Linked DNA regions of Anolis sagrei. The protein of the gene in region 4 purifies or fractionates together with the protein of the main gene of each other region. This does not show direct contact. Links are inferred from orthologs where the notes say so. Each region holds a gene or a part of one and is shown on either strand. Other genes may lie near its edges.

Region 1 (7,080 bases), on a different chromosome or scaffold from region 4:
AACCTGGTATAAAGCAGACATTGTGGGATTTTCTGCCTTAATATTCTGGGATATAGGACTGTGTGAAAGGGCTCTGAGTTCACATTGTTGCCTGGACCCTCCCACAGAGTCATATAATCCAGAGTATCAGGGCAGAAAATCCCACCATATCTGCTTTGAACTGGGTTATAAGTCCACACTGCCATATAATACACTTCAAAGAAGAAAATGTGCCATTTATATGGCTGTATGACAAGGCCCTGAGTCCACACTGTTACCTGGACCCTGAGGGCCCTCCCACAGAGTCATATAATCCAGAATATCGAGGCGGAAAATCCTGCCATATCTGCTTTGAACTGGGTTATGAGTCCACACTGCCATATAATCACTTCAAAGAAGAAAATGTGGGATTTTATACAGCTGTGTGGAAGGGCCCTCTGGGCCTTCCACACAGCCCTATATCCCAGAATATTAAAGTGGAAAATCCCACATTATCTGAGTGTGGACTCAGATAACCCAGTTCAAAGCAGATAATGTGGGATTTTCTGCCTTGATATTCTGGAATATAGGGCTGTGTGGCAGGGCCTGAGTGATATGGCTGTATGGCATGGCCCTGAGTCCACACTGTTACCTGGACCCCGAGGGCCCATCCACACATATAAACCAGAATATCAAGGAAGAAAATCCCACCATATCTGCTTTGAACTCGGTTGTGAGTCCACACTGCCATATAATCCAGTTCAAAGAAAAAAATGTGGGATTTTATCAAGGTAGAAAATATCGAAAACCCACATTATAAATAATACAAATAAAGTGTATAATAATAATAATAATAATAATAATAATAATAATAATAATAATAAAGTTTCTTATTATCTGAGTGTGGACTCAGGTAACCCAGTTCAAAGCGGACATTGTGGGATTTCCTGCCTTGATATTCTGGGGCATAGGGCTGTGTGGAAGGGCCCTTAGCAAGTTCTGAAATTGTGGGAGTTGAAGTCCAAAACACCAAGAGGGCTGAAGTTTGCCCATTCCTAGTGTGTGGATGGGCCCACTGTTGCCTGGATCCTGAGGGCCCTTCCACAGTCGTATAACCCAAAATATCAAGGCAGATAATCCACAATATCTGCTTTGAACTGGGTTATCTGCCGTATAATCCAGTTCAGTGTGGCTTTGATACAGCTGCATAGAAGGGGTCTGACATAAGACAGATTCCTGTCCAAAAGAGGAGGCTTCCCTCTCCATCTCAAGGCCTGCTTGACAGGTCAAACTAGGCATGGGCAAACTTCAGTCCTCCAGGTGTTTTGGCCTTCAACTCCCACAATTCTAGAACTTACTAAGGGCCCTTCCATACAGCCCTATATCCCAGAATATCAAGGCGGAAAATCCCATAATGTCTGCTTTGAAATGGGTTATCTGAGTCCACACTTATAATGTGGGATTTTCTACCTTGATACTATGGAATAAAGGGTTGTGTGGAAGGGCCCTCTGGGCCTTTCACACAGCCCTATATCCCAGAATATCAAGGCAGAAAATCCCACATTATCTCAGTGTGGATAACCCAGTTCAAAGTAGACATTGTGGGATTTTCTGCCTTGATATTCTGGGATATAGGGTTGTGTGGAAGGGCCCTTAGCAAGTTCTAGAATTGTGGGAGTTGAAGTCCAAAACACCTAGAGGGCTGAAGTTTGCCCAACGTTGCCTGGACCCTGAGGGCCCTTCCACAGAGTCATATTACCCAGAATATCAAGGCAGATAATCCACAATATCAAGGCAGATAATCCACAATATCTGCTTTCAATTGGGTTATCTGAGTCCACACTGCCATATAGTCCAGTTCAAAGCAGAAAATATGGGATTTCATTCAGCTCTGTGGAAGGGGCCTGAGACTTTTAGCAGGCAGAAACTGAGAACTCTTGGAGGCTCAGAAGGAGAGCCTGGCAACTCTTGGGAACCTCTGAGTGGAAATGAGGAGTCGCTTAAAGAAGTGAAGAAGCGGCTGTTGCCTCGGACGGGACCACCACCCCCTTGGGAGGGAGAGGAAAACCCCAAATATTTCAAGACCAAGCCACCACAGCGTCGAAAGCCACCCGGTGGCGGGTGAGGCCATCCCCGGAGGAGGTCAAAAGGTGGGAGTGGGGGAGGCCAAGTGGGGGGGAGGGGGGTGAGGGGAAGGGGGAAGAGAAGCGCGCGGAGGGGGGAGTGTCGGGGGGACGGAACGGCGGGTCCCTCAACGGTCGGTTTGGAACCTTCGGCCGCTCAGCGTTCGAAAGCCGTTGGCTGTTGACAAACAGCCCCCACCAATCACAGCGCCCCCTTTCTCTCAGTAACCGGGGCAGATTTTGTTTGTCCCCTTGTTGCTGGGGAGATTAGGACTGGGGCAGTTTTGGCGCCAAAACCCCCTACTTAAGAGAGAGAGCCAGAGGGAGAAGCTTTGTTGATGTTTACCTGGCGGAGGCGGCGGTTGTGGCGGCAAGGCTGGTGCTGCGGGAGGGAAGATGTCGGCGGCGCCGCCCGGGCAACTGCTGCTGCTGTTGTTGTTGTCCTCCCTCCTGGCTTCTTCTTCTCCTGCTTCTTCTCCTTCTTCCTCCTCCTCCTCTTCCTCCTCCTCGTCGCCGTCCTCGTCGCCCTCCGCCTCAGACACCACCATCTCCTCCTCCTCCTCGTCCTCTTCCCTCAGAGGAGAAGCCATGGTGGCGCTGAGGGAGAGAAAAAAAATAGAAAAACAAGAAAGAAAGGAAGGAAAATAGCAAAAAAAATGGATTGATTGAGAAAAAATAGGGGGAGGGGGCACGACCCCCCCTTCTTCCTCCTCTTTTCTTCTCAGGTTGCTTCAAAAAGAATTAAAAATCCAATTTATAATCATTAAGTCTTTTAAAAAAACAATCCAGCATATCTCCTAATTGGATATGGTCCTTTCTTTCTCTAAAAAAAATTAATATAATATTTAAATTCTGAGGGATAATAATTATTTTTTCCCACCAGAAGAAGAAGCAACAAAAATGGCCGCCTTTAAATTATTTTTAAAACAAAAATGCCCCCCCTCTTTCCCCCCCTTTCTGTTCAATCCCTCCCTTTTTTTCTTCCTCAGGAGGTATATATGTATATATATAACTCCCCCCTTCTTTATATATATCTTTAAAAAAATGGCTGCCTTTTTAACCCCCTCAGGGTTAAAAAAAAAGAATAAGAAAGATTTCCCCCCCTTTCCAAAATAAAAAAAAAATCAGCTCCAAATTTTAAAAATTAAAAACAAAAGCTTCTTTTCTTCTTCTTCTTGCTCTTGGCTATATTTCCTTCTCTTTCTCTTTCTCTTTTTTTCCCTTCCTTTCTTTCTTTCTTTCCCCCCCAATCTCCTCTTAAGATCTGTGTGATCATGAACAATATTTAGACATTCCTGGCACTGGGGGGAAACTGACAAGATTTCTGCATAAAACAAAGATGGCTGCTCTAAATTATTTCTTTTTCTCCCCCCCCCCCTTTTCCCTCCTTATGCTCTCCCTCCCCCCCCCCTCCCTCAATAAAAATATTTTTTATAGGGAGGGGGAAGAGAGAGAGAGAAAGAGAAAAGGTTGGATTAATCAGTACTCATGCTCAGTTATGACATCAGCATAAAATTGTTAAAGGTTAACTAGTTCCATACTAGTCAGTCAGACTGTGACTTTTGTTATGTGTGTGTCTTGCTTTACCAGCATTCAAAGGAGAAAGAATAGGGGGTGTTTTATTTCCATCTCCCCCCTCCTTTCTCTTTTTCTCTCTCTCTCTAACTTTAAATACTTCAGAAGGGAGTGGTTTATTTCTCTCCTTTTTTTCTCCTCCAGGGCAAGAAAGGAAGAACAGAAAGAGAGGGGAGGGAGAAAAAAAACACTGATTACTGCAATTTATTATAAGATCCTATTCACATAAGGAGATTTTTTACATAAGATCCTATTCACATAAAGGAGAGTGTATACAGAAATGATTTTTGAGGAGTCAATTCTGATAATAATTCATACCCCCCTTTAAGGTATATATATATTGTTCTTTTAAAAAATAAAAATAGAAAGGTTTTGTTTATAGCATAAAAAAAATTAAGATCAAATTCAAGTGAAGTCTTTCCAAATCTCTTTGTTCCCAGCTGGGTTTTTTTTCTCACCAAAGAGATTTTAGGAATAATTTTGACCACAAAATCCAGCCCAGGGTTAAATTCAACTGAAACCAAAAATACCATGCATACACACACACCCATATATACATACACACACTTCTTGAACATGCTCGCGATCCCACCGGCGTCGCAAGCGCGGTTGGTGGGGACGAGGGATAGGGCCTTTTCTGTGGTTGCCCCCCGACTTTGGAACACCCTCCCCAAAGACATCAGATTAGCACCCACGTTGGCAGGCTTTAGAAAGAGCTTGAAGACCTGGCTGTTCCGATGTGCCTTCCCGGAATAGGAAACTTCAGCACTATGTCCTAGAAGCACTTTATTAGAGTTTTAAGATCCTCTGCACATTGCACATGCCCTGAAATCCAATATGCCGCCTATCACACCCAGCACTTTTTTAATCTGTACCCACTACTTGGCTCGGCCTTGGTTTTACTGTTTATGATGTAATGTTTTGTTGATATTGCTTTATGTTTTTGATATGCTTTGAGTTGTATTGTTTTATGTTGTTGTTATGTTGAGGCCTCGACCTTTGTAAGCCGCATCGAGTCCTTTGGGAGATGCTAGCGGGGTACAAATATAGTTTAATAATAATAATAATGACCCATAACTGGCTTCACCTCATTTCATAACTGTAAAAACAACACTAAAGGGAAACAAATATTAAAAATGAGGCTATTATAATATTTTAGACAGCCGCTGTGATTTCATATCAATGAGCCTTATTTTTAGTGAGTTATAGAATCATAGAGTTCGAAGACACCTCGTGGGCCATCCAGTCCAACCCCCTGCCAAGAATAAGGAAAATCACATTCATCATGTGAGTTTGAAGCATAAGTTTTCATTTGTGGCCACAGAGAAGAGGTCTTGACCCCTGGTGACAGGAATGTGTTCCAGAAGCGTAAGGAAACATTAAGGAGCCCTTGTTTTGCTGTTTAAATCTGGATTATTCACATTCTTTTTTCACTTTAGTGTCTGCCAAATCTGAGTAAAGCATGGCTTGCCATCCTACCAATACAGCAAGTAACAGAGGGTGTCAGTATTACATAACCTGTGGCTCTCCATGTATTTCTTGGACTCTAGCCACCCATTAATCACAACCAGAATGGCCAAGGATATAATGGCAGTGTAGACTCATATAATCCAGTACAATGCAGTTAATCCACCTTCCAAAAATGCATTATATGGCAGTGCAGATCCAGCTTTAAAAGGCCCAGCTTCTCTACTATAGCTTCTTTCGTAGTATCTAACATGGGTTTAAAAAAGGAAACATGTTCTTTCCAGCAAATTTGGGACTATTTTTTGATGACATAGGATTTTTTTATTTAGTCTCTTTAGGAGTTGGATTAGTTCCCACTGGGAGAAAGGTGGCAGACAAATTAAATAAATAAATACAATTATTATTTCATTAACATTAAAAAGCATGCTTAAATTGCGAATTTCAAAAATTACTACTGAAGATTGTAACACTGATCAATAGTGCTAACATTTCAGTATTTTCCTTTGCTGTGCTTCCTTTTCTTCCTTTTTTTTTAACCTGGCCTACGTTCCTTTCCTTATATGAAAGGAAAAAATATTTGTGGTCCTAAATATCATGTTGTTGAAAGATGATCTCACCAACATATTATCTATAAACAGTGAGTACCATTATTCTGGAGTAGTCCCATTTAGGACAATAGCTATGTTAAGGATTAATGTTTTGTGTCAGAGATAGTATGCATAAGATTTTCAGTATATGCATGTTTCTCTATTCTCAGTTCTTTTTTTTTAAAGTCCTGTATGTTTTGGAATTTAGAATATCTTCAATACACAGGCTTCAGTCCTATTGGTAGTTTCAAGTAAAGGTAGACCAATTGAGTCAAACCATCATCTTGTTGAGACAGTTATACAATAAGGCTGCCCTGGGGTCACCAAAACTGCAAATTGACTTCAAGGTACACAGTAATGAACCAAAGTTGAACCCTATCTTTGAGGACATAAATTGGCAAATATGCTTCCATTTTAACTTTGAAGGAATTAAAAAATGATGTCACATATTGAGGACACGTATGTGCTTTCAAATCGCCTATTGACATATGACGGTCTCTCCATTACTTGGATAAAAAAGCGATAAATTTCAAAATAATCTTTTCTGAATAAATGTCCTTCTATTATATCTTATCACATCCTAATAATTCCCAGTGAAGACAGTGGGATTGCAGCAATGGTGCGCTCTTTTTAAAAGGTTGGCCAGGATGGGAAGAAATCAAAGCCAATGCATGGTTGTTCTTTAGTGAACATGTTCAGCCTGAGCCGATCCTCCCCATAGACTAGTTCTAAGTGTCCACAGAGGAGTCACTGTGCCTGCAGGAGAAAGAGCTTGCCAAATGAACGTTATCCCCCATGTGGCTTTTATATTTAACGCAACACCCTCTGAAGCCCTCCAGGAGCTTGGGCGCCAGACCCATTCACTCACGTTGAAACATTTCCCTGGCAGTGCTGGAAGTCAGTGCTCGAAGGAAGAGCTTGGGAGGCTTTGTGCTATCAAAACCTTTTAAAATGCAATTTCCAGGCATTTTTCTCTTCCTGGTGGAAAGGAGAAAGATGAAACTGGTTGCAGCATCCTCTGATTTCAAGCCTGGAATGCAATCAGTTTGGAAGCATTATATTACTCATTGGTTCAAAACAAAGCCGCGAGAACTGGAGAAAAAAACCAACTTTTCCCACTAAGGGAAACCCCTTTTTGAATCTTGACCTTTGCTTTTTCTGGCTTGGTCCTCATTGCTCAAGGGAGCAGTCTGCAAAAAGGAAAACATCTTTTTCCTTCAGTCTCTTGCCTGCCTTTGATGCTTCTTCACAATGCAGTCAGCATCAAGAATCCCATCAAGGAATCTATCGCATTATTATAATGGTGTGTGTGTGTTTTTATTCCCACAGTTCAACTAACAGCATCTTGTCTTTCGAGATGGTCAAAGATG
Region 2 (7,579 bases), on a different chromosome or scaffold from region 4:
TTTTGCTGGTCTAGATTAAGAGAGAGATAAGCTAGATCTGGAAAGGGGATGCGAGCCACCTCCGAGGAGGGCTGCTCTGCTGGCTCTGCTCTTTCTCTCCCCTTGGCTTTTCCCCCTTCCTTTCTTTCTCTCTTTCTTTCTCCTTCTCTCCGTCTTCCTCTCCTCAGTGGCAACGCTCCGCCGCTCTGTTTTGCTGGCAGCCGCTCCGCCGCACACGCGGCAAGCCTTGTAAACAACGCCGCGCACGAGATTTTTCCCTTTTTCCCCCAATCACAATCCACGGCCACTCTTGAAAACCTTCCAAAGAGGGAAAATTGCACACGAGAGAGGCATAGGAAGGGAGGGAGGGAGAGGGGGGAAAAAAGAAGGGAATCCCTCCTTTAGAGAGGGAGCTGGATGCAGAAGCAAGTGGTGTTTATGCTTCTCTCTCTTTCTGACCAAGTTTGGGGTGCAAAGGAAGGAAAGGGGACCCTCCATTCATTCAGAGGTCTCTCTCTCCTCGAGTGGGTGCTTTCCCAATCCTCGCCTTCACCCTTCAAGACAGGATACACACATTGTATTCACACACACGCTCCTCTCAAGTTTGTTTATGCTTCTCTTTTTCTGCAAAACCTGGAGTTTGGAGGGTAAGAGAAGGAAGGAAAGGGGAGCCTTCATTCACTCTGAGGCCCCTCTCTTCAAGTGGGTGCTGTCCCAACCCTCCCCGTCGCCCTTCAAGCCAGGATGCACGCACTACACACACACACACCTTAAGTTTGTGTATGCTTCCTCTCTTTCTGCAAAACCTGGAATTTGGAGGGCAAAAGAAAGAAGGAATGGAGATCCTTCATTCACTCTGAGGCCTCTCTCTTCAAGTGGGTGCTTTCCCAATGTCGCCCTTCAAGCCAAGATGCATGCACTACACACACACACACACCTTAAGTTTGTGTATGCTTCCTCTCTTTCTGCAAAACCTGGAGTTTGGAGGGCAAAAGAAAGAAGGAATGGAGATCCTTCATTCCCTCTGAGGCCTCTCTCTTCAAGTGGGTGCTTTCCCAATGTCGCCCTTCATGCCAAGATGCATGCACTACACACACACACACCCCTTAAGTTTGTGTATGTTTCCTCTCTTTCTTTTGGAGGGCAAAAGAAGGAAGGAAAGGGGATCCTTCATTCACTCTGAGGCCTCTCTCCTCAAGTGGGTGCTTTCCCAACCCTCCCCGTCGCCCTTCAAGCCAGGCTGCATTCAGCACACACACACCTATTAGTTTATGCTTCCTCTCTTTCTGCCAAACCTGGAGTTTGGAGAGCAAAAGAAGGAAGGAAAAGGGACCCTTCATTCCCTCTGCGGCCTCTCTCTTCAAGTGGGTGCTTTCCTAACCCTCCCCGTCGCCCTTCAAGCCAGGATGCACGCACTACACACACATACATATACATACACACACACACCTATTAAGTTTGTTTCTGCTTCCTCTCTTTCTGCAAAACCTGGAGTTTGGGGGCCAAAAGAAGGAAGGAAAGGGACCCTTCATTCCCTCGGAGGTCTCTCTCTTCAAGCGGGTGCTTTCCCAACCCTCCCGGTCGCCCTTCAAGCCAGGATGCACGCACTGGAGAGGCGCACACAATGCACACACACACACACCCCGTTCCACGCGTCTCCAACCCTTTTCCTTCCAGAGGCGCGACTCCTTTGCGCGCCTAGAGAAAGAGAGAAACGCAGAGCTCGAACGAATCAATGGGGCGAAGGAGGAGGGAAAGGAAAGAAAGGAAAGGAAAAGGAGGGGTGGGAGAAGAGAGAGAGAGAGAGATCCAGAATGGGGAGGGAAAAAAGGGGGAAGCGGGACTTGAGAGGAGAAGAGAGGCAACTTTTCTTTTTCCAGAGCGCGAGAGAAGAAGGAAAAGAAGGGAAGGTCTTCGAAAAGTAAGCCAAGGGAGAGATGGAGTTGTTTCGGAGCGGAGGAATGAAAAGGGAACTTGGGAGAAGTAGGGTTGGAAAGGAATGAATGAATGGGAGGCGGGTCTGGGTTGGAGGTTTGTATTATTTGGGTTTCCCCCCCCCCCCCCAAAGAATGGAAGGAAGGTAGTGGAGAGCGAGGAGGACCCGCGCGCCGGAGTCCAGGTGGGAAGCCAGCCCGTGGGCGCCGGAGGAGTGCTCGCCCTTCTCGCGTGTTACTTACGTGAGAATCCCCGCTTGCTTAAGTGCTGCGGCTTGCCTTGCTTGCGGCGAGACATCGCGGAGGGGCGGCGGGAGCGCTGGCGCTGGAGATGGAGGAGAAGCAGCAGCAGCAGCAACGGCGGCAGCAACGTTGGCAGCCCTCCTCCTTCTTCCTCTCCTCTTCTTCCCCTGCTTCTTCTTCTCCTTCTTCTTCCCCGGCTCTCTTCCGCCTCCTCCTCCTCCTCCTCACATCCCTCCCTTCCCGGCCGAGCTCTTCATCGAGCGCCTTTGACATCCAAAAATAAATTAGAAATAAGAATACAAAGATGGCGCGGGGAAGATGAATGGTGGTGGTGGTAGCGGTGGTGGGAGAGCAGGCATGGCTTGGCTTTTTCTCTTTTTTCTTTTCTTTGCTTGGCTTTTTCTTTCCGTGCTTCTTTACAGAGGAGGAGGAGGGAAAGAGAGAAAGAGAGAAGGAAAGGAGAGGAAAGGAAAGGAAGAAGAGAAGGAGAGAAAGAGAGAGAGAGATGAGGGGGGGAAAATGGCAAAAGCCCCCCTGAGCTGCAAGTTCAAGTGCGGACGTGACGTTCCCGACGAACTTGAACGTCAAGCGCCTGGATGGACACAGACATACAAAACATGGGCAGGGCGAGGAGGAGGAGGAAGAGGAGGAGGAGGCGGGAGCCCAGGGAGGGAGAGAGAGAGAGGGAGGGAGGAGGGAGAAAGAGAGAGAGAGAGAGAGCAGCGCGCCACGCCAATGGACGGACACTCCGCGGGGGATGGACAGGGCAGGAGCCCCAGAAGAGAAGAGAAGAGGAGGGAGAAGGAGGGAGGGAGGGAGAGAAAGAGGCAGGCAGCCCGGAGGAGGCGGAGGTCGAAGCCGAGGAGGAGGAGGAGGGAGAGGCAGGCCGGCGGAGGGAGCAGCAGCAGCAGTAGTAGGGCAAGCCAATGGCCAGCGGGGAGGAGGAGGAGGAGGAGGAGGCGCACGCCGGGCAGGAGCAGGAGGAGGAGAAGCAGGAGGAGGAGGAGGGCGCCAAGGGGAAGCCCAGTGCCCAATGGCAGGGGCACAAGTCCTAAGCACCTGGAGGGTCGAAGTTTGCCCATGCCTGGGACACCCATGCCTGGGACAAAGGGTGTCTGGGTGGGTAGGTGGGTGGGTTGGGGGGAGTCTCAGTCTGAGGGTACAGCCCCTCCGAGGACTTTAAACACGAAGGGAGAGGGCGTCCGGAGAAGAAAGCGCCCCAAAGAGGTGTGCGTCAAAGAGAGGAAAGAGTGGCCAGGGAAGGAAAGGGGAAAGAAAGGCGGGTTGTGGGCACCTGAGAGGAGGGGAAATAGGGCGACGGGACACTCCTAGAGGAGGAGGAGGGGGAGAAGGGCTCGAGGTTTTCAGAGCGATCCCCCTCTTTTTATATATATATAAAATCCATAAAAAGATTCCATTCTTCCTTACCTTTTCCTTCCTCTTACTTTTCTCTCCCTTCCTACTTTCCCTTCTTTCTTTCTCTTACATTTTCATTCCTTAATTCTTTCCTTCCATGCTTGCTCTTACCTTTTCTTTCATTCCTCTTTCCTTTCCCTCTCTCCCTTCCTACCCTTCCTTCCTTCCTTCCTTCATCCTTTCCTCTTACTTTTCCCTCCCTCTCCTTTCTTTCTTTACTTCCTTTCTCTTACCTTTTCATTGCTTAATTATTTCCTCCCATGCTCGCTCTTACCTTTTCCTTCATTCCTATTTCCTTTCCCTTTCTCCTTTCCTTTCTTCCTCTCCCTCTCTACCTTTTCCTCTCTCCCTCCCTAACTTTCCCTTCCTTCCTTCATCCCTTTCTCCCTTTCTTCCTCTCCCTCCTTAGCTTTCCCTTCCTTCCTTCCTTCCTTCATCCCTTTCTCCCTTTCTTCCTCTCCCTCCCTACCTTTCCCTTCCTCCCTTCACCCGTTTCTCCCTTCCTTTCTTCCTCTTCCTCTCTCCCTCCCTACCTCTTCCTTCCTTCCTTCCTCTTACTTTTTCCTCCCATCCTTCCTTTCCTTTCTTTCTTTCTCTTACCTTTTCATACCTTAATTCTTTCCTTCCTCGATCGTTTCCTTCCATGCTTGCTTTTACCTTTTCCTTCATTCCTCTTTCCTTTCCCTCTCTCCCTTCCTTTCTTAGATTTCCCTCTCTCCCTCCCTCCCTTTCCCTTCCTTCCTTCCTTCCTTCCTTTCTTCCTCCTTTCCACTTACTTTTCCCTCCCTTTCCCTTCTTTTCTTTCCTTGCTCTTACCTTTTCCTTCATTCCTCTTTCCTTTTCCTTTCCCCCTTTCCTTCCTTAGATTTCCCTATCTTCCTTACTACCTTTCCCTTCCTTCCTTTATCCCTTCCTCTTACTTTTCCCTTCCTACCTTTCCCTTCCCTTCCTTCCTTCCTTCCTTCCTTCCTTCCTCTTACCTTTCAGTTCCTTTCTTTCTTCTTTGCTTGCTCTTTCCTTTTCCTTTCTTCCTTCTTTCCTTCCTTCCTTTCTTCCTTCTTCCAATTACTTTTCCTTCCCTTCCTCTTACCTGTCCCTGCCCTTTCTTCCTACCTTCCCTTCCTTCCTCTTGCCTTTTCATTCCTTTCTTTCTTGCTTGCTCTTTCCTTTTCCTTCCTTCCTTTTCCTTCCTTCCTTCTTCCAATTACTTTTCCCTCCCGTCCTTCCTACCTTTCCCTCCCTCCCTCCCTTGCTCTTACCTTTTTTCCTTCCTTACTTCCTTCCCCTTAATTTTCCCTCCTTCCCTCCCTTCGTAGCTTTCCCTTCCTTCCTTAATTCCTTCATTGCTTGCTTGCTCTTACCTTTTCCTCCCTTACCCTTCTTTCCTTGCTCTTTCTTACCTTCCTTCCTTCCTTCCTTCCTTCCTTCCTCTCCTCTTACTCACAAGCGTTGCAAAAGTCTCTGTGAGGTGACCAAAGGAAGAGGTGAAGGGTTTGGGGAGAGGAGGCGCGGGAGGGGGGGGGCAAGCCCGGGGGGTGCTTGCTTTGGGGGGGGGGGGTCTCCTAGCACTTTGCCCCCCCCCCGGCTCCCTCCTTTGGTCACTGGGGGGGGGACCTCGGGAGGGGAAGGCAGAAGAGTTGAAATAGGCATGGGCCAACTTGGGCCCTCCAGGTGTTTTTGGACTTCAACTCCCACAATTCCTAACAGCCAGTAGGCTGTTAGGAATTGTGGGAGTTGAAGTCCAAAAACACCTGGAGGGCCCAAGTTGGCCCCCATCCCTGCAACCAGGTAACGTTGCCACATGTCCTGTACAGGATCCCCACTCCCTCTCCACTGGGAAGGGGCTGCTCTTCCACAAGAGAGGCCCACCAGGACCCCCTTCTCTCCCTCCTTTCCCAATCCTGAGCCCCTTTACCTATTCCCAGGGCTCCACATGGGATTTAACGCGGGTTAGCTACCCTTTGAAGAGTGTCGGGCGGTAGTATATAGCTAGGAGGTTAAACCTGGTGACCGAAATTGTGTCAGATAAAATCCAGGGGTCTCGTGACTGGCTTTTCCCTTTCTTTTTGGAAAAATAAAATATTTGCAAGGATGGGTTGAGAACTCAAGGTGTGTGTGAGAGAGAGACACACATTCTAAATGGGACCGACATCAACCCGCTTTAGGAATCGTTCTGTTGCAATCCAAAACCTTCAGGGAAAGCAGGATTGCTTACCGCCCTCTTTAACGGGGGATTAAACCCTTGGCTGTGAGTTTTCCGAACCAGGTTCCAGAAGCATTCTCTCCTGACGTTTCACCCACACCTATGGCAGGCATTCTCAGAGGTTGTGAGGTCTATTGGAAACTAGGCAAGTGGACTGTGTAGTATATATGTATGTGGGATGTCCAGGGTGGGAGAAAGAACTCTTGTCTGCTTGATGCAGGTGTGAACGTTGCAGTTGGCCACCTTGATTAGCTTCGAATAGCCTCGCAGCTTCAAAGCCTGGCTGGTTGCTGCCCGGGGGGAATCCTTTGTTATATCTGTGGGATGTCCAGGGTGAGAGAAGGAACTCTTGTCTCCTTGAGGCCGGTGCGTCGGCCACTTTGATTAGCGTCCAATAGCCTCGCAGCTTCAAAGCCAGGCTGGTTGCTGCCCGAGGGAATCCTTTGTTATATCTGTGGTATATCCAAGGTGGGAGAAAGAACTCTGGTCTGCTTGAGGCAGGTGTGAATGTTGCAGTCGGCCACCTTGATTAGCATCGAATAGCCTTGCAACCTCAAAGTCTGGCTGGTTGCTGCCCGAGGGAGGAATCCTTTGTTATATCTGTGGCATGTCCAGGGTGGGAGAAAGAACTCTTGTCTGCTTGAGGAAGGGGTGAATGTTACAATCGGCCACCTTGATTAGCATCGAATAGCCTTGCAGCTTCAGAGCCTGGCTGGTTGCTGCCTGAGGGAATCCTTTGTTGGGAGGTATTAGCTGGCCCTGATTATTTTTTTTACTGCTCTGATTACTGTTACTGAACCCAACAAAGGATTCATCCCCAGGCAGGAAGCAGCCAGGCTTTGAAGCTGCCAGGCCATTAAACGCTAATTGATTCTTGTCTGGAATTTTATTTTTTTTAGTGTTGCTTTTTATTTACTGTCCCGATTTTAGAGCTTTAGCTTTCTCAGAGCGCAGATAGGGCTGTCATAATCCCGAGTTCATCGCGCGATAGTACTGGGAAGAGGCTGGGGATGTTTTCCGAGTGGGAAAGTGCAAAGGGGTTCCTTTTCCCAGTAGACTTTTGTGGAAAATCGAATTGTTTGTGAGTCAGTATTCTTCTCAAACCTTGTGAATGTCCAAATCTATCCCCAAACGAGGTTGTGTGTGCGTGAAACTGTCCTGGAAGCGTCCCTTCAAACGTAAACAAACAGCAGTAATTCAGATTGTCGGGAAAGTGCGGCCAGAAGAGAAGGAACAGCTACCTGTTGTGCTTTCCTTTAGGGAATCCCCATTGGCTTGCCAACCTTTGCATTTGGCATTGGGAAAGAAAGCAAACAGAGGAACCCAGGGACACTTCTTTGGAGAAAGGTGTAAGGAGGATGGATTTTGCAATTTTTGAACTAGGAAAATCGCGGTTTGTGCACTTATGGTGATCAGGGAGAGGCCGAAGAGACCCCTCTCGTGCTCCCCAAAAATGTCAAGGACGAACCCCACTGGTTCCCCGAGGTGGAGAGGCACCTGAAGCGAACGCGGGTGGAAAAGACCCAGTGGGGTGAAGCTGATCGTGGAGACAGGCAGGCAGGAAGGAAGGAAAACACCTGCTTACTCGCCACCTTTGCTGAAATGGATGGAGAGAAAGAACAAGGAAGAGAGGGAAAGGAAGCGGAAACAGGGACAAAGCAAAACAAAAAACCTTCATTGGAAAGGGAAATCAGAGAAAAAAACAGGAGTGGAAAGAAGGGGGGAAGTTGGCCCACCCTGAGCCAACTTCGGCCTTCCCTCCAGGTGTTTTGAACTCCAACTCCCACAATTCCGAACTGCCCAT
Region 3 (7,528 bases), on a different chromosome or scaffold from region 4:
CCTCGAAAAGATGCAAACCAACCCTAACTATCCAAAGCAAATCCTAGTTTCCAACAGACCTCATGACCTCTGAAGATGCCTGCCATAGATGTAGGCAAAACGTCAGGAGAGAATGCTTCTGGAACATGGCCAGATAGCCTAGAAAACTCACAACAGCCCAAAGCACAAATGCTTCCTGCCTGTCTTTCCCCATTCTTCCCTCTTCTTTGCTTGCTTTCCTTAAAGTGCAGATTGCTTGCATTTTGAGAGGCACCATGTTTGATTGTTCCCTTCCAGCCATTACAAAAAAGTAACCACAAAAGCATGAATAGTGACTAATAATATCTATTCCTAGGTAAAGGTAAAGGTTTTCCCCTGACATTAAGTCCAATCATGTCTAACTCTGGGGGTTGGTGCTCATCTCCATTTCTAAGCCGAAGAGCCGACATTGTCCACAGACACCTCCAAGGTCATGTGGCCGACATTTTTTTTCTCGTGTCAGGAGCAACTTGAGAAACTGCAAGTCACTTCTGGTGTGAGAGAATTGGCCATCTGCAAGGAGATTACCCAGGGGATGCCCGGATGATTTGATATTTTTATCATCCTTGTGGGAGGCTTCTCTCATGTCCCCGCATGAGGAGCTGGAGTTGATAGAGCTCATCTGCCTCTCCCTGGATTCGAACCTGTGACCTGTCGGTCTTCAGTCCTGCCGGCACAGGGCTTTAACCCACTGCGCCACCGGGGGCTCCGACATGATTGCATGGAGCATTGTTACCTTCCCGAAGTGGTATCTACTGATCTACTCACATTTGCACGTTTTCAAACTGTTAGGTTGGCAGAAGCTGGGGCTGACAGTGGGAGCTCATGCCGCTCCCCTGATTCGAACCTGCAACCTTTTGTTCAGGAAATTCAGCAGCTCAGCAGTTTAACCCACTGCGCAACCGCGGGCTTCTATCTATTCCCATCTGTATCTATTATTTCTATTTGGGATTTTTTTTTTGAAGACAGGAGAGAGAGGGGAGGAGGAAGAAAAGCAAGAAAGAGATACAGAAACTGCTACTTTCACCAAATAATAATCTGTGAATTGGGGGAAAGAAGGGAAAGGAGGAAGAAAAGCAAGAAAGAGATACAAAAACTGCAACTTTTCAGCAAAGAATAATCTGTGATGTGGGGAAAAAGAAGGAAAAGGAGGGAAAAAAGCAAACAAGCGATATAAAAACTGCTACTTTTCACCAAATATTGATGTGTGAATTGGAGAAAAGAAGGGAAAGGAGGAAGAAAAGCAAAAAAGAGATGCAAAAACTGCAATTTTTCACCAAATAATAATCTGTGAGATGGGGAAAAGAAGGGAAAGGAGGAAGAAAAGCAAGAAAGAGATACAAAAACTGCTACTTTTCACCAAATAATAAGCTGTGATGTGGGAAAAATAAAGGAAAGGAGCCTTTTGTCTCACCCTGGTCATTCCACAGATATATAAACCCCTTTTTCCCAGCTCCAGCAGACCTCTGAAGATGCTTGCCATAGATGCAGGCGAAACGTCAGGAGAAATGCCTCTAGAACATGGCCATATAGCCCGAAAAAACCCACAAGAACTGAAAATTTGCTACTTTTCACCAAATAATAAGCTGCGAGGTGGGGAAAAGAAGGAAAAGGAGGAAGAAAAGCAAGAAAGAGATACAAAAACTGCTACCTTTCACCAAATAATAATCTGGGAGGTGGGGGAAAAAGGGAAAAGAGGAAGGAAAGCAAGAGAGAGACACAAAAACTGCTACTTTTCACCAAATAATAATCTGTGAGGTGGGGGAAAGAAGGGAAAGGAGGAAGGAAAGCAACCAAGAGATACAAAAAATGCTACTTTCACCAAATAATAAGCTGTGAGGTGAGGAAAAGAAGGGAAAGGAGGAAGGAAAGCAAGAAAGAGATACAAAAACTGCTACTTTTCACCCAATATTGCTGTGTGAATTGGGGGAAAGGGAGCGAGTGAATGGAGTGGCACAAGGCGGAAATGGAGACTGCAGGCTTGTGACTGTGTTGCAATCTTGTCTACACTGTGCAGATTGGGCATAGATTTGCAAAAAGAAGGAAATAGAGAAGAAGACCTCCTTGCCAGCCCCAAGGACCCTGAGATCCTGCCCTCCCTCCTCTGGAAATAAAAGGGGAAAGAGAGAGAAAGAGAGAGGAGGAGGAGGCCAAAGGACTCGGGCGCCGCGACCTCCTCCTCCTCTTCTTGGGGTGCCCAACCCCGACAAGAACCCACAATTTCCATCTCGAGACAGGCATGCAAAATAAATAATGAAAGCCACCCAAGCCTTGGGAAAGCAATGAAGCAAAATGGCGACTTTTTTATGTAGAAGGAGGGGAAAGAGAAAGAGGGATGGGAAAAAGAGAGAGAGAGAGGAGAAAGGGAGGAAGAGGGGAAAAGGAAACGCGATGGCTCTCCTTCTCGCTCTGCTTTGGAGACGTCTCCCCAGCCCGGGCTTGTGTGTCCAAATCGTGGTTGAAAGGCAAAAGGGGGAGGGGGGGGAGAGAGGAAGGGGGAAGCCAAGGCGGAGGAGGGCCCGGGCTTGGGCAAAGGCCGCAGGGGGCAAGGCGAGGCCGAGCCGGGGCTGGCGAGCGAGCAGGGCAGGGGGCTGGCTGGCTTGTGCCGGGAGGAGGAGGGGGCTCTTCGCCTTACCTGGCCGGGTGGGCGAGCCAGGGCCCTCTCCCTCTCTCTTTGCTCGGCTCCAGGGGGGCCCCAACAGCGCCAACGCGCACCGGCGACGACGCCAAAGACGCCCAGGCGGAGCGGCTCATGCGCGGAGGACCCCCCCCCCTTTCTTCCTACACACACACACACACACTTTGCTCCAGATCCTCTCTCTCCCTTCTCCCTTCCTTTTTCTCCCCCACGCTCTCTCTCCTTCCTCCTCCTCCTCCTCCTCCTGCTTCTTCCTTTTCCTCCTTCTTTCGTTTACCTCTGACAGCCTCGCAGGAACTTGTACTTCTGGCCTCCTCTTTCTCTTTCTCCTTCAAACCCAATCGAGGATAATTAGAGGCATAGGATCTTGGAAACACAAGGGACCCCCCCCCCCCCACTGTCTTCTTCCCCATTCCAGCCCCATTCTGCTAGGCTGGAAGGCACAAGCCAAGCCCTCCCAACAGAGAGCCACACAGCCTCTCTTTAGTAAGTTAGCACTGATACAATGCTGGCCTGGGCCAACTTAGGCCCTCTTGATGTTTTGGACTTCAAGTTAACATTGATATAATGCTGGCCTGGTCATACCCAACCTATTCAACTCGTATGCAGAACACATCATGTGATGTGCGGGGCTTGACAAATGCAAGGCCAGGGTTAAAATTGCTGGAAGAAACACTAACAACCTTAGCTATGCGGATGATACCACTTTGATGGCCAAAAGCGAGGAGGAGCTAAGGAGCCTTCTAATCAAGGCGAAGGAAATTTATTTATTTATTTATTTATCCTAACAGCCTCAGACTCCTTCCCTTTCTCTCTCACTCACTTAAGCAGCTGGGGGGGGGGGGGGGGAGGAAAGGGACTGAAGCTATTAGGAATGGTGGGAGTTGGAGTCCAAAACACCTGGAGGGCCCATTTGCCCATGCCTGATCTGCAATGACCACATTAGTCAGTTTCAAACCAGTTTGTATTGTGTGTGTGTATGTGACAGGAACGACTTGAGAAACTGAGTCCTTTTTGGTGTGAGAGAATTGGCTGTCTGCAAGGACGTTACCCAGGGAATGCCCTGGTGTGTTACCATCCTTGTGGGAGGCTTCTCTCATGTCCCTGCATGGGAAGCTGGACCTGGCAGATGGGAACTCATCCCGCTCCCTGGTTTCAAACCACCGACTATCAGCAGTCCTGCCGGCACAAGGGTTCAACCTATTGCGCCACTGGAGACTCCTGTTCAAACCAGTATTTTGATACAAGAAAGTAGTTTCGCTGTGCAGAGGATTGCAGAGGAAATCGTGGAACCAGTTTGAGATCCAGGTGGTGATTACACAAACCCCAAAGCACTGGTGAACATGAAGGTCCTTTCTTTTGTGCATTTTCATTGGAGTTTGTTTCACCACTGTAGGTTGACTCCGAACTGCTTCAAAATCCAAATAGGAGAATGCACCAAAAAAAGTACAGACTTCATACAAAAGAGACAAAACTTCAGTTCCTGGGTATACTAAAGCTATCAAATATTAGAAGAACTGGGGAAGGAAAACTCTTGCAGTACAAGATTTATGGGCATATTCTTTCCACACATTGCAGTAGATGGTTCCTCTGCCAGGCAGCAGCCACTGTTTATTTATTTATTTATTTCGGTTGCTTCTACCCCGCCCTTATCACCCCGAGGGGGACTCAGGGCGGCTTACAAAAGCAAGGCACAATTCGATGCCCGCATTACATAACAGCAAGGACAATAACAACAGTTAACAAACAGCAGTTTTAGCAGTCACAATTAACAGAAAGCAATAATTATTAATGGCAAAAACAACCATAAAACCAATAAAAGCAGTAAAAGCACTAAAATCAATACAAACCTCAATTGATGGTCAGCGTTTCGCAGACTCATAGTTTAAGTTCCAATTTCCACAAATTGGAACTTTGGATTTCCACAAAGCTGGCAGTTCCCATCTGCCAGCTCCAGCTTCCCACGCGGGGACATGAGAGAATACGGTCCTATCCATCTGGTTTCCGTATCTAATTGTCAGGGTGCCCAAAGGCCTGGTCCCACAACCACGTCTTTACCTTCCTCCTGAAGGCAAGGAGGGATGTTGATGCCCTGATTTCCCCTGGGAATGAGTTCCACAGGTGGGGGGCCACCACTGAGAAGGCCCTGCTCCTCGTCCCCACCAGCCTTACTTGTGATAGCGGTGGGGTCGAGAGCAGGGCCTCCCCAGATGATCTCAGATTCCGGGGTGGGACGTAGAGGGAGATATGTTTGGACAGATACGCTGGACCGGAACCGTACAGGGTTTTGTAGATCAGAACCAGCACCTTGAATTGTGCTCAGAACTGAATCGGCAGCCAGTGGAGCTGACACAACAGGGGGGGTGGTGTGCTCCCTGTATGTCGCTCCGGTGAGCAATCTTGCTGCCGCTCGCTGGACCAGTTGAAGTTTCCAAACAGTCTTCAAGGGCAACCCCACGTAGAGTGCGTTGCAGTAGTCTATATGGGATGTAACAAGAGCGTGGACCACTGTGGCCAAATCAGGCTTCCCGAGGTACGGGTGCAACTGGTGCACAAGTTTTAATTGGGCAAAAACTCTCCCACCCACCGCTGAGACCTGGGGTTCCAGGCTCAGCGATGAGTCCAGGATCACTCCCAAGCTGCGAACCTGAGTCTTCAGGGGGAGTGTAACCCCATCCAACACAGGCTGTAACCCTATACCCTGTTCGGCCTTACGACTGACCAGTAGGACCTCTGTCTTGTCTGGATTGAGTTTCAATTTGTTAGCCCTCATCCAGTCCGACACAGCAGCTAGACACTGTTTCAAAAGCTCCAGAGAAGGTGACCCCTAAAAGGCAGCACATTCTACTGCCAAACAGGTTTTCCCTTCCTAATGTTTAAGGGGAATCTCTTTTCCTGCAGTTTGAATCCATTGCTCCACTGTGTCCTACTTAGGTGATCCCTCATTGTCCAAGTATGATAGCCTTCCAAGTGCAGTGTCTTGGCAGTGGGTATGTACGTGATTGTTTAGCCCCATTCTTGACCCGCATGTTCTTCCACAGTGAGGGCATCAATTTCAGGGTTGGCTTGATGCACCTTTCTCCTGGCATGTTTCTCTCTTTCACCTTCCATTCGTGCTTCTTTAAATTCCACAGCACTGCTTGTCACAGCTGATCTCCAGCTAGAGTGCTCAAGGGCTAGGGCTTCCCAGTTCTTGGTGTCTATGCCACAGTTTTTAAGGTTTGCTTTAAGCCTCTTTTTCCTGTTCACCAACATTCTGTTTTCTGTTCTTGAGGTTCTCCCACAAATCCTGCAACAACAAATCAGGGATGAGCCTGCAGCACTGCCTAGTTTGGAGGAAGTCAGCAACACCATCAGCCAACAACAACAAAATAACAAAGCCAGCGGACCTGATGGGATCCCTGCTGAAATCTTTAAAGACGGTGGACCTGAGCTGACACAACTCCACCAGCTCATTCAAAAAGTGTGGATGATTGATAATAGTAATAGTAATAATAATAATAATAATAATAATAATACACTTTATTGGAAGTCAATAAACTTTTTTTATTTTTTATTTCTATTCTATATTACTTAACTATGTGTGTGTGTGTTCTCTTTTTCTTTTCTACCTCTTTCTATCCATTAACTTTATTCTCTTTGCTTACCTTCTCTTTTTTTCTTTCTGTATTTTCTTTGTCTTTTACCTTTCTTTTCTTTTTCTCCTTTCTCCATGGTTTTATTGCTTTTAACGGAAACTCTTAATAAAGATTACTTTTAAAAAGTGTGGATGACTGAGATAATAATAATAATAATAATAATAATAATAATATACTGTATTTATATTTTGCTTTATCTCCCTGGACTCAGAGCAGATTACAGTACACATATCAGGCGAACATTCAATGCCATTTTACATTTGACATAAACAATGACATACAATACACAGATAAGGTAAAGGACTTCCCCTTTTCCATCTCTGGTGTCTGGAGGTGATGCTCAACTTCCAGCCATGGGGAGGTGCTCTTGTTCCATTTTCCATGCTGAAGGAGCTTGCTGTCCATAGACATCTCTGATCTTTTTGCCAGCATGTCTGCATGGGGCACCCATTTACATTCCTGCCGAGGTGATACCTATTGCTCTACTTGCATTGCATGCTTTTGAACCGCTAGGGAGACAGAAGCTAGGACTGACAGTCAGGAGCTCACCCCAACTCGCGGCTTTGAACTTTTGACCTTCCGGTCAGCAGCCTTTCCTGCAGCTACCAGCTTTAACTGATGTGCTACCATGGCCTCTTTCTATGCCAGTGGTTCTCAACCTGGGGTCCCCAGATGTTTTTGGCCTACAACTCCCAGAAATGTCAGCTAGTTTACCAGCTGTTAGGATTTCTGGGAGTTGTAGGCCAAAAACATCTGGGGACCCCAGGTTGAGAACCACTGTTCTATGCTGACCATTAATTTGGGGCCAATCCAATGTTCTGGACATCTGAGTGGCCCTGCATAGCACCCAAGAGGAACTCCCTCAATTGTAGCCTTATCAATAATGCGACTTCAGCCTTCACAGATTTCAGGATCCATGGGAGGGGTGGGTGTCCCAGAACCAAATCCCAGTAAACACCAGTAACCTACTTTATTTAAACTAGAATAATACAATTGTGGCTTAAGGTCACATATGGGCTCTATTGCTTTTTTGTAGCCCACCCCTTGGACTTCTTGGATAGGCATCCTTCACTTAATCATCTGTCATCTGTGTAGGTGGATGTATCTGCATTTCATATTCACTTTTTTTGCATGTGTTTGATCACAAGCGCACAGACGTTTTGTTGGCTGCTTCCATAGCTGTTTGCCAAAATTGTCCTTGATATTGGCATTTAAAGCAGAGGTGGGCAACTGT
Region 4 (7,677 bases):
CTCATGTCGTCGCATGGGGAGCCAGAGCTGACAGAGGAAGCTCATCTGCGCTGTCCCCGGATTCGAACCTGCAACCTGTCAGTCTTCAGTCCTGCCGGCACAAGGATTTAACTCATTGCACCACCAGGGGCTCCATAATACTAATAATAATACAAGATAATAATTATAGAGTATATATTACATGTAATAGTACTAATAATATTGCAGTATAGTGATATAGTACAATACAATAATATATAATACTAATATTGTGCTATGCTAATAATTATAATATATTGTATGTACATATATAATGGCGCTCCAAGCAGTCATGCGGGCCACATGACCTTGGAGGTGTCTAGGGACAATGCTGGCTCTTCGGCTTAGAAATGGAGATGAGCACAAACCCCCATTGTTGGACACAACTGCACTTAATGTCAGGGGAAAACATTTACCATTATTATGTACATATAATCATAATATTATAATATTGTAATACAATATTACAATATTGTATTGTAATACCATATAATAATATTGTAAAACAATCTAATATTACTAATAATACAATATTATAATATAATAATTATATTTTTTATATTACATGTAATTTTTACTAATAATATTCCAGGATAGCAGTATAGTATAATCTAGTTATGTATAATACTGATTTTGTGCTATTCTAACCTTCACTGGACCACACTAAATTTGACAACTTTTGGCCAGTTTCCAATCTCCCCTTTTTGGGCAAAGTCCTGGAACGCGTGGTGGCCTCACAACTCCAGGTATTCTTGGGAGACACGGATTATCTGGATCCGGCACAGTCTGGTTTCAGACCGGGACATGGAACTGAGACAGTCTTGGTCGCCTTAGTGGATGATCTGCGCCGGGAGGTCGACAGGGGGAGTGTGTCCCTGTTGGTGCTGCTGGACCTCTCAGCGGCCTTCGATACCGTCGACCACGGTATCCTTCTGGAACGCCTCGCGGGGATGGGTCTTGGAGGTACTGTTTTACAGTGGCTCTGGTCTTTCCTAGAGGGCCGATCCCATAAGGTGTTATTGGGAGACACCTGTTCAACCCCACAACCTTTGTCTTGTGGGGTTCCACAGGGCTCAATATTGTCTCCCATGTTAACATCTACATGAAGCCACTGGGAGAGATCATCCGGAGTTTTGGGGTACGGTGTCATCTGTACGCAGACGATGTCCAACTCTGTCACTCCTTTCCACCTGCTACTAAGGAGGCTGTCAAGGTCCTGAACCGGGGTCTGGCTGCTGTAACAGTCTGGATGAGAGCGAACAAATTGAAACTGAATCCAGACAAGACAGAGGTACTCCTGGTCAGTCGCAAGGCCGAACAGGGCATAGGGTTACAGCCTGTGTTGGATGGGGTCGCACTCCCCCTGAAGACGCAGGTTCGCAGCTTGGGTGTGATCCTGGACTCATCGCTGAGCCTGGAACTCCAGGTTTCGGCGGTAACCAGGGGAGCATTTGCACAGCTAAAGCTTGTGCGCCAGCTGCGCCCGTACCTTGGGAAGTCTGACTTGGCCACGGTAGTCCACGCTATTTATTTATTATTTATTTATTTACTGCACTTGTAGACCGCCGTTCTCAGCCCTAGGGCGATTCACGGCGGCTATGGTTACATCCTGTTTAGACTACTGCAACACTCTCTACGTGGGGTTGCCTTTGAAGATGGTTCGGAAGCTTCAACTAGTCCAACGCTCGGCAGCCATGATTCTAACAGGAGCAGAGTGCAGGGAGCATACAACCCCCCTGTTGCGCCAACTCCACTGGCTACCGATTTGCTACCGGGCTCAATTCAAAGTGCTGGCGTTGGCCTTTAAAGCCCTAAACGGTTCTGGCCCAAGCTACCTATCCGACCGCATCTCTGCCTATGAACCCACCAGGACTTTGAGATCATCCGGGGAGGCCCTGCTCTTGATCCCGCCTGCCTCACAGGCACGGCTGGAGGGGACGAGAGATAGGGCCTTCTCGGTGGTGGCCCCTCGGCTGTGGAACGCCCTTCCCACGGACATTAGACTAGCTCCATCATTAATGGTATTCCGCAAAAAAGTGAAAACCTGGTTGTTTGAGCAGGTGTTCGAATAGTCAGTGCAATGAGTGTAATGAACATAGGAATGGAACAATGGATGATGGATCTGGATCATGTTTTTTAGTGACGAGACGCTAGTGAATGGCTATTGTTGTTAATTGTATATTACTGTATAATGTGTTATGATGTTAACTGTTTTTTATGCTGTGTTATTGTAGCATTGAATTTTTGCTGTTCTTGTTGTGAACCGCTGTGAGTCGCTTAAGGGCTGAGAAACACTATTTCTTGTGATACACTACAGTAATTAACACACCTTGATTTCCATAATACCAGGCATGGGCAAACTTGGGCCCTCCAGGCTGCTAGGAATTATGGGAGTTGAAGTCCCAAACACCTGGAGGGCCCAAGTATGCCCATGCCTGATCTACAACGTACAACGCCAACAGGCAAGGAGTCAACTAAGCCAGGCTTCTCTTTTCTTGTCAATTCTTTTGAACCAGCCATGACATTTGCCCCCCCCCCCTTTTTCCCCCGCCCTCGTATTGAGACGCCAAGGTCTTTGCCCCGCTTCCTGAGCCTCGGCCCTGGCGCCAGGCTTCTCCCCACAGACCAGGCCCATCTCCACCGCCGCCCACAAGCGCCCCGAACTCCTCCAGGCCGAACTCCGGAGGCGCATGCGCACTCCCTCGCCGCTTCCCCTCAGTTCCCGATCTCTCCTCCCCCTCCGGCTCCTTCAGGCGCCCCTCCCCCCTCCAGCGAGCCCCGAGGAGCCCCCTCCCTTCCTCCCGCTCCTGCTCCGGCCTTACCGCCCACCCGGTACATATTAGCGGCCATGGCGCCTCCCGGACTCCGCCCGCCTCGGCCAAGCCGCCTCAGGAACTCCGGGCCCGGCCGCGCTCCATCCCCTCCCGCCTCCGGTGGCGTCGTCGTCGCCTCTCCTTCCCACGCAGCGAGCGCCGACCAAGCCTTGAGCCCTTCGTGCATTTCCGGAATCGCTCGGGTGAGCTTCGGGAATCTCCGGAAAGGATTCGTTCCTTGCCGTAGAATGGCGAAGCCTGAGGCCAGCGCTCGGCGGGCGGCGTTCGGTTTTGGTCGATTTTCGCTGTTAGGGGGCCTCGTGAATCTCCGGAAAGGATCGGCCGTTTCCGGCTATAAGGTTGCACCTTTCGTTTGTGATCGGAGCCAGAATTTTTTTCCCTATTAGAGAAAGGAACTAAGGCTTTGTTGTTCGACTTCAAGGCGTTCCCGACTTCTAGCGACCTTGTAATAGCGCATCAGTTGGAGCTCATTTGAGGCTGAGAGAGTGTGACATGCCCAGGATCACCCAGTTTTTTTCTCCTAAAGAGACTCCAGTGATAAAAAATACAACACTTACATCCTAAAGAAAATAAACATCAACATAGAATTAAAACTATTTACATTTTTATTTTTTATTGTGTCAGAAGCTAGCCAAGGATGCAGTTGTAATGTATTTAAAAACACAAAGTTAAAAACTTGGCATTGTGCTAAATTTGCCACTTGGAATACCTCTGGTGTTGTTGAGAGAAGGCCCTCCATTGTGCATGTGGCAGGGCTCAGGTCACATTGTAGTACGTCATCTGTGGTTTGCTCTTCTCCACACTCGCATGTCGTGGACTCCACTTTGTGGCCCCATTTCTTAAGGTTGGCTCTGCATCTCGTGGTGCCAGAGCGCAGCCTGTTCAGCACCTTCCAAGTCACCTAATCTTCTGTGTGCCCAGGACGGAGTCTCTCATTCAGTATCAGCAATGGATTCAGGTTCTGGGTTTGAGCCTGCCACTTTTGGACTCTCGCTTGCTGAGGTGTTCCTGCAAGTATCTCTGTTGATCTTAGGAAGATGTTTCTTGATTTAAGGCATTGGTAACTGGCTGATATCCAAACAGAGGATGGGCCGGATATGTCACTGCCTTAGAATCATAGAATCCTAGAATCCTAGAGTTGGAAGAGACCTCGTAGGCCATCCAGTCCAACCCTATTCCACCAAGAAGCAGGAAAATTACATTCAAAGCACCCACAACAGATGGCCATTCAGCCTCTGCTTCAAAGCCTCCAAAGAAGGACCTCCACCACACTCTAGGGCAGAGAGCGAGTTCCACTGCTGGACAGCTCTCCTTACAGTTAGGAAATTCGTTCTCATGTTCAGGACTTCAAAACCTTTTTCCCACGTCCTGCTGATATCGAGCTGCTTTTAGGAGGATCTTCCGAGCCGAGGAGATCCTGAGGACCACACCAAAGAGAGTCCTTGAACCTTGGTGAGGCCAGCGAAGCCAATTTCAGCAGCAAAAATATTTAAAATAATAAATCCTCACCAAAGCGGAAGAAGCTGGGACCGAGGTGTCTTTATTAGCGATTCAGCTGAAATCAGATGTATTGTAGGAATAGTTCCACTACAAGCATAGCAATACAGAATTTTACTGGCATTTTTAAAGAGAAAATACAGGTTTGAAAGTTTCAAAACTCCCTCCCTCTTTGGCTCCTTAGCAAATCAGGGAGAGGGAGGCAGGACGGAAGAGGGGCATTGTTTTGTCCAGTAAAAGTTGATTTTATTAAGAAAGGTTTTTCTGCCCTTGATGGGTTTTGGTGAAGGAAAACAAAGAGGATCGGGGCAGGGGACCTGGGGGGGGGGGGGATCAACCCTGCCCTTTGTGATTCAATCAAAGTGTCCAGATAAACTTCCTTGCCTGCCAGACAAAGCAAACAAGAGGAAGTTTCAGCTTGCTACTGTCCATGCAGAGGTGAAATAATCAAATAAGAAAGGGAGGTGGTGGTTCTCCCTCAAGCATTTCAACAGTCCTGGGTCACATTTTCTAGGGCAAAAGGCAAAGGGGAAAGGCAATATTTCATAGCAAGATACATACATTCAAATCATAAGCATTTCATAGCAACAAAACCCCATTTTTGTCCCACATTCCAAGTATATTTAATAAGAGAATTAATTTTCATGAAGAAGCCTGAAGTCCAATGTTTTAAAAGGTCTTTGAGGAAAGTTCATGAGGGAGATAGTATGTACTGAAGTCCAAGATATGCAGGCAGAGAGTCCATGATCATTGGGAAGGCTGGCAGATGAAACCCCAGCTGTGCTGCAACTGATTCACGCTTCTGGAAACTACAACTCTCACAAAGGACAGAAGTCCCAAGATCTAGCCATTTCCCAAAAGCCTCGTGGGGTCCTTGTTGTTGTCAGTGCCTTGGCAATGTGACCAAGACTTAACCCTTGTTGTGTAGTCTGGTGCCCTTGCCCTTTGCAGAACTATAAGTCACTATCCCTTATTTTTGGGGGGGGGGGTGCTCAACATCACTGCTGTCGCGCCAGGCATCGTCCCCCATTTTGTCTCTTTGCATTTCCTTTTTTCTGCCTCGGTGGAGTGTCTTGCATTTGTCCCTGTTGAACTTCATTGTGTTTTGTTGTTGTTCGTTTGTTCAGTCATTTCCTACTCTTCATGACCTCATGGACCAGCCCACGCCAGAGCTCTCTGTCGGGCATCACCACCCCCAGCTCCTTCAGAGTCAATCCAGTCACTTCAAGGATGCCATTTATTTATTTATTTATTTCTGTTATTTATTTATTTATTATTTAAACTTATATGCCGCCACTCCCCTGGGGCTCGGAGCGGCTTACAAGAATAGCTAAAATCTAACAAAGTTTAAAAGCAATTTAAAACAATTTAAAAACAACAGTATCAAACATTAAAAGCCTGTCGAAACAGGTATGTCTTACATGCCCTGCGGAAAGCTGGTAAGTCCCACAGGGCACGAACTTCAGGTGGCAGAGCATTCCAGACTGATGGCGCCACTGCTGTGAAGGCTCTGCATCTGGTTGCCATTAGACGCAAGGCCTTGACACTGGGGACTTCCAATAGATCTTGGTCCTCAGAACGGAGGGATCTCTGGGGTTGGTAGGGGGTGAGACGGTCCCTCAGATACATTGGCCCCAGACCATGCAAGGCCTTAAAGGTGAGTAACAACACTTTGTTACTTCTACCCCGCCCTTCCCACCCCAGAGGGGGACTCAGGGTGGCTTACAAAAGCACAATTTGATGCTGCCAACATCAAATTGTGCTTTTTAACAATCAGTTTCTGCACTGCAACAATAAAACCAATAAAACCGATTTCACCTAATTAACGCTCAGTGTTCGCCATCTCATAGTCCAAATTCCAATTCCACTTTGTCAGTCCTGTCAGTCCTAGTCATCTAATTGTCTTTATCTAGTTGTCAGATTGCCCGAAAGCCTGGTTTCCATCTAGCCCTTGGTCGGCCCCTCCTCTTTTTGCCTTCCATTTTCCCCAGCATCATTGTCTTCTCTAAGCTCCAGGTATTCTTAGTAGACATGGATTATCTAGACCCAGCACAGTCTGGCTTTAGGCCGGGACATGGTACCGAGATAGTCTTGGTCGCCTTAGTGGATGATCTGCGCCGGGAGCTCGACAGGGGGAGAGTGTCCCTGTTGGTGCTGCTGGACCTCTCAGCGGCCTTCGATACCGTCGACCACGGAACCACTGCTGTTTCTACTGTTTTTACTGTTTGTGAACCGCTGTGAGTCGCCTTCAGGCTTGAGATACAGCGGTATATAAGCAAAGTGGTCCACACCTTAGTTACCTCTAGATTGGACTATTGCAATGCCCTCTACGTGGGGCTGCCCTTGAAGACGGCCCGGAAGTTTCAACTTGTCCAACGGGCAGCAGCCATATTATTAACTGAAGCGAATTACAGAGAGTGGTCAACCCTCCTGTTTAAGGAGCTCCACTGGCTGCCATTTATCTTCTGGGCCCAATTCAAGGTGCAGGTTTTACCCTACAAATCCCTGAACAGTTTGGGACCCACCTACCTGCACGACCGCATTTCCGTCTATGAACTCACACAATCTCTTTGATCTTCCGAAGAGGCCCTTAGTTCGCTCCCGCCTGCATCGCAACTGCGACATGTAGGGACGAGAGAAAGGGCTTTATCTGTGGTGGCCCCCCGGCTCTGGAATTCACTCCCCAGAGACATTAGGCAAGTTCCCACGCTGGCAATCTTCAGGAGGAATATGAAAACCTGGTTATTCCAATGTGCCTTCAATGATTGAATTTAAAATACTCCCTCCCAAATTTCGCACAAATGACCTCAGAAGCACTTTATTTTATGGTTCGTGCAATGAATTCCTTCCTCAATCCGGATCTCCCTCCCCAACAGTTTCCATTGCCTAATCTCCCAGTGTTTTAAAATTTTAAATGTTTAATTTTTATCCTTAAATCTGGCCTTGCCTGTGCAATTTCTGTGTGTTTACTGTCCAATTTTATACTGCTGTCTCGTTTATTATTTAGATTTTGCATTTTATGTTTTCTAGTTCTGTTATGCCTTGTGTTATATTGTGTTATGCTTTTGTGTTATATTGTGTTATGCTGTATTGATGGGCATGGCCTCATGTAAGCCACCTCGAGTCCCCCTGGGAGAGATGGAGCGGGGTATAAATAAAGTATTATTATTATTATTATTATCTCAGGTGGGGTATCACCTGAAATAAAAACCATAATTTCGCTATATATATGTAATATACTGTAGAACTGTATTTAATAAACCAAAAACTAGTTACTTAACTTATCTGCTTAGTTGTTTCTTTGTTCATCCATCAGTCAGTTTCTTTT

What was found.
Region 1: the proteins of MTA2 (region 4) and CHD3 purify together in Homo sapiens (affinity purification with mass spectrometry; 8 studies listed by BioGRID and IntAct, with this or other methods). This does not show direct contact. The link is inferred for Anolis sagrei from reciprocal best matches to the Homo sapiens genes MTA2 and CHD3.
Region 2: the proteins of MTA2 (region 4) and BCL11A purify together in Homo sapiens (affinity purification with mass spectrometry; 4 studies listed by BioGRID and IntAct, with this or other methods). This does not show direct contact. The link is inferred for Anolis sagrei from reciprocal best matches to the Homo sapiens genes MTA2 and BCL11A.
Region 3: the proteins of MTA2 (region 4) and ZNF512B purify together in Homo sapiens (affinity purification with mass spectrometry; 3 studies listed by BioGRID and IntAct, with this or other methods). This does not show direct contact. The link is inferred for Anolis sagrei from reciprocal best matches to the Homo sapiens genes MTA2 and ZNF512B.

What each region holds. Positions count from the first base shown.
Region 1 is NC_090026.1:6,301,160-6,308,239, reverse strand, and holds the start of CHD3 (chromodomain-helicase-DNA-binding protein 3), read right to left. Parts: upstream 3,003-7,080; 5' UTR 2,672-3,002; coding exon 2,428-2,671; intron 1-2,427.
Region 2 is NC_090021.1:12,866,434-12,874,012, reverse strand, and holds the start of BCL11A (B-cell lymphoma/leukemia 11A), read right to left. Parts: upstream 3,009-7,579; 5' UTR 2,212-3,008; coding exon 2,157-2,211; intron 1-2,156. UniProt on the Homo sapiens protein: Transcription factor. Associated with the BAF SWI/SNF chromatin remodeling complex. Binds to the 5'-TGACCA-3' sequence motif in regulatory regions of target genes, including a distal promoter of the HBG1 hemoglobin subunit gamma-1 gene.
Region 3 is NC_090024.1:238,132,217-238,139,744, reverse strand, and holds the start of ZNF512B (zinc finger protein 512B), read right to left. Parts: upstream 3,015-7,528; 5' UTR 2,934-3,014; intron 2,874-2,933; exon of another isoform or gene 2,654-2,873; intron 1-2,653. UniProt on the Homo sapiens protein: Involved in transcriptional regulation by repressing gene expression. Associates with the nucleosome remodeling and histone deacetylase (NuRD) complex, which promotes transcriptional repression by histone deacetylation and nucleosome remodeling.
Region 4 is NC_090032.1:12,528,015-12,535,691, forward strand, and holds the start of MTA2 (metastasis-associated protein MTA2), read right to left. Parts: upstream 3,006-7,677; 5' UTR 2,869-3,005; coding exon 2,841-2,868; intron 1-2,840. UniProt on the Homo sapiens protein: May function as a transcriptional coregulator. Acts as a component of the histone deacetylase NuRD complex which participates in the remodeling of chromatin.